2 linked regions of the Mus musculus genome follow. The protein of the gene in region 1 purifies or fractionates together with the protein of each later gene. This does not show direct contact. Links are inferred from orthologs where the notes say so. Each region holds a gene or a part of one and is shown in the gene's direction. Other genes may lie near its edges.

Evidence for each region.
Region 2: the proteins of Eif3k (region 1) and Eif3b purify together in Homo sapiens (affinity purification with mass spectrometry; 7 studies listed by BioGRID and IntAct, with this or other methods). This does not show direct contact. The link is inferred for Mus musculus from reciprocal best matches to the Homo sapiens genes EIF3K and EIF3B.

What each region holds. Positions count from the first base shown.
Region 1 is NC_000073.6:28,971,595-28,975,399, reverse strand, and holds part of Eif3k (eukaryotic translation initiation factor 3 subunit K), read left to right. Parts: intron 1-730; coding exon 731-797; intron 798-1,173; coding exon 1,174-1,251; intron 1,252-2,742; coding exon 2,743-2,868; intron 2,869-3,114; coding exon of another isoform or gene 3,115-3,167; exon of another isoform or gene 3,168-3,365; intron 3,366-3,805. UniProt on the Homo sapiens protein: Component of the eukaryotic translation initiation factor 3 (eIF-3) complex, which is required for several steps in the initiation of protein synthesis.
Region 2 is NC_000071.6:140,417,703-140,422,173, forward strand, and holds the start of Eif3b (eukaryotic translation initiation factor 3 subunit B), read left to right. Parts: upstream 1-1,602; 5' UTR 1,603-1,658; coding exon 1,659-2,124; intron 2,125-4,471.

The sequences.
Region 1 (3,805 bases):
TTTTGGGTTGTTTTTTTTGTTGTTGTTGTTTTGTTTTTTGTTTTTTTTTTTTTGTTTTTGTTTTTTTGAGACAGGGTTTCTCAGTGTAGCCTTGGCTGTCCTGGAACTCACTCTGTAGACCAGGCTGGCCTCGAACTCAGAAATCTGCCTGCCTCTGCCTCCCAAGTGCTGGGATTAAAGGCGTACGCCACCATTGCCCAGCTCTCCCGCTCTTGTTTAAGGGAGTTTTGCTGAGAGTAAAAACCTGGAGGGGTGAAGGATGAGCTGCAAAGAGGAAACTTCCAGGCACAAAGCCGCACAAAGGGCCTGAGGTAGGCAGGTCTAGTGAGGAGACCCTTGTGGCTGAAGGAGATGGAGGCAATGGAAAGTGTACAGATGACCTGCCTGGGTGTGTGTGTACACATTTACCTTCTATGATTTGGTTGTTGGACTTCCCAGCCAGGCAGAGGCAGGTGGATTTTTTTAGTTCAAGGCCAACCTGGTTTTTCAGGGCCAGTTCCAGGACTGCTAGGGCTACACAGAGAAACCTTGTCTTAAACCAGAGACAGGGGCGGGCAGGTGGGCAGGCAGGCAGGCAGGCAGAGGCACGATCTCCTGTACCCGGATTGCTCACACCTGCTGACTCAGAACTTTTGATCCCTCCTGTCTCAGCCTCCACAACGTCAGCACTGACTGGTTAATGCTGAGTGATGGTGCTAGTGTTAATACTGGGGCATCCTTTCTTCCACAGCAAGCCCTGGATGAGAACATGGACCTTCTGGAAGGCATAACTGGCTTTGAAGACTCTGTCCGAAAATGTGAGTCCTGGGAGCCTGGGTTCCCGAGGGCTTAAGGCAGTGTAGCAGGGACTTGGGAGAAGGGGGATTAAAAATGAGGCAGACTGGGCCTTGTGCAATAGCCAATTTTATTTAGAGCATAAGTTTATATTCTGAAAGTTAAGCATGGTCATACGAGCACAGTTCCCAAAGTTCAAGCCATATACAGCCCCGAGGATAAAGCTGCGCTTGGAAGTGGTTTTTTAATAACAGAAGCAGCTGTGTGTAATCTGGAGCAAGCCCTTGCTGTTTACTACACCTGCGGGGGACACAGAAGAGCCCTCAGAATTCTCACACAGCTCCGTTCCTGGATTACGTGCCAGCGGCCTCTTGACTGTCTTTGTTTTGATTCTCACAGTTATCTGCCACGTGGTGGGCATCACGTACCAGCACATCGACCGCTGGCTGCTGGCCGAGATGCTCGGAGACCTGACTGGTGAGGCCTGGTGCTGTTTCTGTCAGTCTGAGAGGAAAAGGTGGTTGGGGCATGGGGCCTCAGGCAGCTCAGGGGAACCCACCGCACCTTTCCGAGGTTGTTACCTGCCCCAGAGTGTGGGTGAGGGTTTGGTATAGGATGTTGCCTTCTGTATCTCCATGAGTTCAAGGCCAACCAGGGCTATGTAGTGAGACACTGCCTCGAAAACACCCTGACCAGGTGTAGTGCTGTCCTCCTGGAATTCCAGTTATAGGAAGCTGGAGCAAGAAGATTGTCTGGAATTCCAGGCCAGCCTGGGCTATAGCATGAGCCTCTGCACCAACCAGTTAACAGATGCACATGTCAGACAGTGGTCCTGATGCTGACCTTGGCAGTGAATAGGAGAGCTCAGGCCCTTTTCATGGATGGAGCGAAGTGGAAGCATCAGCACCTTGTAGTTGGTGTTGCCAAGGGTAGCAGGGCTGCTTTGGAGGGATGGCATTCGGCCTCTAGAGGAGGCCAGTGTGGCCCTCCTGCAGCAGGGGCCTGCCTGTCATGTGTGCTGTGCCTGCGTGCCCTGGAAGCATACACATCTCTGGAGAACTTCCGTGGTCTGTCCTCTGGTGACAGGACATGGGACGGCTCTGAGAAGGCCCAGCCTTGATTACAATGAGGTTCTTAAAAGGTCCCTCCAAACCAAAACCCTCAGCACTTGAGTTTGCAAAAAGTGGCGCTGGGCCGGAGAGAGGTTCGGCAGCTGTGAGCATCTATCTCCTGCTTGATGCGGAAGAAGGTTTGCGGGGTCCAGCACCCATTGTGGGCGGTCACAGGCACCAAGAAATTCCATGCAGTTTCTCACCCTGGGAGCACCTGCGTACATTCACATTTGCGCACACAAATGAGTACACCATTGCTCTCCTCAGATACACCAGAAGAGGGCATCAGATCTCATGGTTGTGAGCCACCACGTGGTTGCTGGGAATTGAACTCAGAACCTCTGGAAGAGCAGTCAGTGCTCTTATTCGCTGATCTCCCCAGCCCTAAATAAATGTTTTGTCTTGTTTTTATTTTTAAAATAAATAAATAGTATTGTTAAGAAACTAAGGGAACCTGTGCCTGGAGGCACAAATTCTATAGTCCTGGTACTTGGAAGAGAGTCGGGAGTATTAGGAGTTTACGTCATGATGAGTCCAAGCCAGCCAGGGCTGCATGAAATCCTGTCTCAAAAAAAAAAAAAAACCAAAGCCAAAACCAAAAACCTACAGAAAAACCCCTATGTGACTAGGAGAAAGAGGCTAGTGCGCCCCCTGGTGGCCAAGTGGAGACTGAGCCCCAGATTGCTGGCTTTGCCCTAGAGGATCTCTTCTTCCGAGTCCTGCTGCTGTCCAGGCAGGAGTTGGCCTAGAGCAGTTAGCAAAGGGGGCTTGGCCTGCTCAGCCCCGATTCCTCTGCCTCCAAAGCCCCTAGTGTTAGGGTTCAGGCCACCAACACCTCCGCCCATGTCACCTGCAGACAACCAGCTGAAGGTGTGGATGAGCAAGTACGGCTGGAGCGCTGACGAGTCAGGGCAGGTCTTCATCTGCAGCCAGGAAGAGAGCATTAAGCCCAAGAACATCGTGGAGAAGATTGACTTTGACAGTAAGTGGCCTGGGGCCGCAGACTGTAGGGAAGACAGTGTCCTGGTGGGAGAGCAGTGCTGGGTGTGCAAAGCACGAGGCAGAGCCTGTATTCCTGGACTGGGAACTGTCTGCCAGATTCCAGGTTGCTGGCCCAGGGAGAGACTGTGAGGGATGCTGAGTAGTCTCCCCTGCTGGATGTGAGCCGTCCATGTTCTCTCTCTCTCTCCCCCCCTCCCTCCCACCCCCCGCCCTGGCATTCCTCTAGACCAGACTGGCCTCAAACTCTACCTACCTCTCCCTCCCGAGTGCTGGAATTAAAGACTTGTCCACTCAGGGCTGTGGCTCTCGATGAGTCATTTGGTCCCACCATAAGGTAGTTGCTCTTGTTCTAACTTGGAAACTATTAGAACTGGCACAGTGCCTGCCTCCTCGTGTAGAGAGAGCCAGGCGCAGAGTGAAAGGCAGTGACAGCCGTTCCTGTCACATTTTGAATAAACAGTCTTATCCCAAAAGAGGAAAAAGTAGGTGTGGTGTCTTTGATCTCAGCACTCTGGAGGCTCAAGGCCAGCCTAGCCTACCTAAAGTGACACAGGCATTTAGCTAGGTGCCCTGCTTCATCCTTCTCTCAGAGGAAGTGACCTGAAGTGGGGAAGGACAGGGACACGCCTCCTGCTAGGGCTCCTCCCCCTTCTCCCAACTTTGGCTCTGTTGAGGGCCACCAGCTGGTCAGTGGCCAAGCTGAGCATCAGTGAGCTGTGTCACTTCCCACTGGGTGCTCTGACCTCTACAGAAAGTGTCCACCATGCTTGGGTCTCAGAAGTCCACACAGTTCTATCTGCAGTGGAGAGCTGCCGGCCCGGCCAGTGTCCCTCACATGGACCTAGGCCAGGGCTAAACACATGCAGTACTTAGTGCCAGACTGGTCAAGCTCTTCTTTTAACTCTAATCCTGTACAA
Region 2 (4,471 bases), on another chromosome or scaffold:
CTCAGTGGGTAAGAGCACCCGACTGCTCTTCCGAAGGTCTGAAGTTCAAATCCCAGCAACCACATGGTGGCTCACAGCCATCTGTAATGAAATCTGACCCCTCTTCTGGAGGGTCTGAAGACAGCTACAGTGTACTTACATGTAGTAAATAAATAAATAAATAAATCTTAAAAAAAAAAAAAACCTCAGCCAGCCCAGTACTAACTTATCCATCAGCCCGTGTTCACATGTTTTGTGGTTTAGTCTTTATATCGCACAGGCTGGCATGATCTTTCTGCCTCAGTCTCCCCAGTGCTGGGATTCCAAGTCTATGCTTCCTGGTCAACTAACAGGTCCTTTAAAAAAAAAAAAAAAGGAAAGTTTTGTTTGTTTTTTCTTAGGAATGATCTGGGACCAGAGAGGTGACTCAACTGTTTTTGTTGTTGTTTTGTCTTTTAAATTAGGCTCAACAGTTCAGAGCATTGCCTGCTCTTCTAGAGAGCCTGGGTTCTATTGCCAGCAACGACATGCGGTTCATAATTGTCTACTCTAAGTCCTGCGCGTGATACGATGCCTTCTTTCGGCCTCCGCTTGTACACGGTGCACAGACAGACTTGCTGGCAGAACACTGATACGCATAAAAAAAAATTCGAGTTAAGAGATGGTTGTAAACTACCATATGGGTACTGAGAGCGAAACTTGTGTTCTTAAGCTCTTAGTCCCCTCAACTAGTTCTTATTAAGATTTTCGAAACTTTGAACTGGAAGTATCAAAAATCTTGACTATCTTTTCAAGCAAACCACTCTTGGGGTCCCCCTGGTCACTCCACGAAGGTTCCGTCCCGTCCACCCCACGCTGGCCCACGTGATCGCGCTCTCCCGCGCGTGAAGACCGCAGTCACCGGCAGACAGAATCACAGTGACTTTCACGTCTGGGGCCAACGCTAAATTGCGAGCCGCTGCAGTGAGGATGGCCATTGAGATTAAAGCCGCTCATCACACGACTCTGCATTGTGCGGGCAGTCATTCTTGTGTGTGTTGGCGGCCCCTGGTTGTCGGCGAGCTCCTCGCGTAATTTTGGAACCCTTCGTTCTTTTGCCCCGTCAGTGGACCGGTCTAAAATGCAAGACCTTACGGGGGAGCGAAGCCAGTCATGTCAGTCAAGCAGTCTGTCTGATTAAAAGCAAAGCTTACAAAGAATCATGTGTGGAGCTTTCAGTTGTCTTGGCATTATTTTATGGTCACATATTTTGTCTTCATACAGTTACGCGTGTTAATCATTTGAGAATCCACTTGATGCTCCCCAGATAGTACAGTCCTTCCCCGTAGCGCCCGCTGGGAGAGGCAAAGGAACTTCTACCATCTTGGACGCAACTATTTCTTAGCTAGAATGGGGGAGCCACATATCCTTGTGAATTTATTTGCTACCTTAAAAAACCTTTTGGGCTATAAATAAACTTGCATATCTTGAAACTTATTATTTTAATTGTTTCTAGATTTTTATGCATATCTGAGTTTTCTCGGGCTGATCGTGAGGAATGAGGGCGTGGGTGTCTCCCCCGAGCCACATCTTGGTACGATCCCATCGCTGCACGCACATGGCTCCGCGCTAGCGGCGCGCGGTGACTTCTGGGAGTCGGAAGCAGGGCGGCCGAGCCGGGTGAGAAGCAGCGCGGGCCCATGCAGGACGCTGAGAACGTGGCGGTGCCCGAGGCGGCCGAGGAGCGGGCTGAGCCCGCGAGGCAGCAGCCGGCCTCCGAGTCGCCGCCGACGGACGAGGCGGCAGGGTCTGGGGGGTCCGAAGTGGGGCAGACGGAAGACGCCGAAGAAGACGCCGAGGCCGGACCGGAGCCCGAAGTGAGGGCCAAGCCGGCGGCCCAATCCGAAGAGGAAACGGCGACGAGTCCGGCCGCCTCGCCCACGCCGCAGTCGGCGGAGCGGTCCCCGTCGCAGGAGCCCTCTGCTCCCGGGAAGGCAGAGGCCGTTGGCGAGCAGGCCCGGGGGCACCCCTCGGCTGGAGCGGAGGAGGAGGGCGGGTCTGATGGGAGCGCGGCTGAGGCGGAGCCGCGGGCTCTGGAGAACGGAGAGGCAGATGAGCCCTCCTTCAGCGACCCCGAGGATTTCGTAGACGACGTGAGCGAGGAAGGTAAGGGCGATCGTGTCCCCGGCCAGGGCGCGAGGTCTCCCGGTTACAACGATCTTGTTTCCTCTACAGTGGGGGACCATTTGGGGAGTCCGTTTCTGCGGCAAGCCCTTGCACCTGGGGGTTGGTGGAGGGCAGGACGAACAGGACTATCTGGGGGCATTCCAGTTTCCTGGCCAAGGGTTTCCAGGGTTGACCAGTTGCTGTGTTCCCAATGGTTTCCGTAGTAAGGCATTGCCATCGGACCCAAGCACATTACCAACCTGCTTCCTTTTACTAGGTCGGTACCCTGGACCATTGCTTTTTCACATTGTTCGTTTGGCCGCTTACTTCATGATTTCTTCTATGGTGACTGGCTTTTTAAAGGCATTGTTTCTGTCTACCTGCACAGGAGCCAGATTCCTAAAATCTTTTTTGACAGTTGATAGCATGTGTTCCTCTGCCGTTTCAACTTCACTTGAGCCAGTTCCTTCATGTGTTGGTGTGGCTAATACCAAGGGCCAAAGGGCCTAAGAACACCACTTTTTTTTTTTTTTTTTTAAACGAGACAGGGCCTCTCTATGTAGTTCAGGCTGAAATTGAACTCTTGGTTCTTCTCAGTTTTCACGGTGCTGGTCCTACAGACATGTACTCCCAAACAATTGCTTTTGAACTACCATGAAAATTCAGCGCCCCAATATAGTTGTCAACTTAGAACTTACAATATTTCAAGAGGTCGTCATTTGATGTCACCATTGTTTGACTTAATCCTTTTGTATGTTTGTGGGGGTTGTTTTGTTTTGTTGTGAAACAGGGTCTGGCATGGTCCAGGCTGGCCAGCTCTTTATGAAGCTGAAGCTGTCTTTGATCCCCATCCTTCTGCCTCCACTTTCAGATTGCCAGGATTTGAGATGTGAGTCACCATGCCTGGCTTATTTCTTGAAAGATGGCTAAGAGTGAGAAGCCGATAAACTAATGTGAGGAATCTATAGGCTCCAGCCTTGAGGACGTTTATCTGGGTAGAGCAGGTTTCTGGGTTCCCACTCTCGCCCGACTCCAGTGCTTGCTAATGTACCTGTTTTCCCCATGTTAGAGCCTAAGCTTTGACTTTGAAGCTCCTTTTGAATCCTTGGTTCCTTTGGCTATTTTGGGTCTGGGCTGTCCCTGTCACTTCATGGTTTCAGACAGGACCTCACCATTTGGCTGGGCCAGCAGGCCACGTAGGTCCTTGTACTTTTCTAGCACTGGGAATGCGGCTCCGTGCCCCTCCAGCTTTTTTGAGTTGGGTGCTAGCCTACAGGAGTGATCTTACCTCAAGTCCTGCTGCTCGCCCAACAAGCGTCTTTTGAGCTAAACCATTTGCCCATAGGCACTACCAGCATCTTTTCCCCTTTTCAAAGGTCTGTTTTGTTTTGTTTATTTGTTTTTAATTGAAATTTTGCACAGGATCATTTTGCCCGTGTGTCTAGTGCCCATGGAGGCCATTGGATGGCTCTCTTAGAACTGGAGTTTGAATTAGAATTGGTTGTAAGTACTGGGAAGAAAATGGGTCAGTCTACTGCAAGATGAGTATTTAAAGAATATTTGAACCCGTTTAATTCACAGATTCCAGTATGTATATTATTTCCAGAATTGGGGATTATAGGAGTCAGGGGATGCTGGCTGGTGTGACTGCAAGGCCAGCCTGCCTTCAACAAGTCTGCTAGGAGCCCAGTGGGTCCCGTCCAGTGTATGCAGGGAAAGGGAGAGTAATGAGAATCTGGCCCTTAATGGTTGGAACTCTTAAGGCCATCTGGCTTTGGGCATCAGGGTGTCACAGTGTCATCAGGGTGAGAAGAGAAACAGCCTTTTGGTTTCTACCAGGAGGAGCAGTGTGGAATCCTCACATCAGTATATGCCTCCTATTCTGTTACTGATAATGAACAAGTTGTTTTCTCTAGTGTGCTGTGCATGCCAGCAGTTCAGTACTTGGAAGGTAGAGGTTTGAGGTTAGCCCTTGCTACATAGAGGGTGCAGAGCCAGCCCGAGGTACTTGGGACCCTATATCACAAGACAGATAGAAGGGGGCTGAAGAGATGGCTCAACACTTGCTGTTCTTCCAGAGCACCTGGGTTTGATTCCCAGCTCCTGCATGATGGCTCACAAGTCTCTGTAACTCAGGAGTGATCATGTGGTACACATATACACAAAAAACATTTATACATGTCACAATAAAGTGTAAAAAACCCAAGCAAATGGAAAGAAGCAGTGTGTTGCGTTCTGAGGATATTTTGCTCTGCGCTTCTCAGGAGAAGCAGATGGTTAGTTACAGGCTAGGAGCACTTTGAGCTCCTGGGAAGGAGTCTAGTCTGTATGGAAGCTGGGCTTTTCT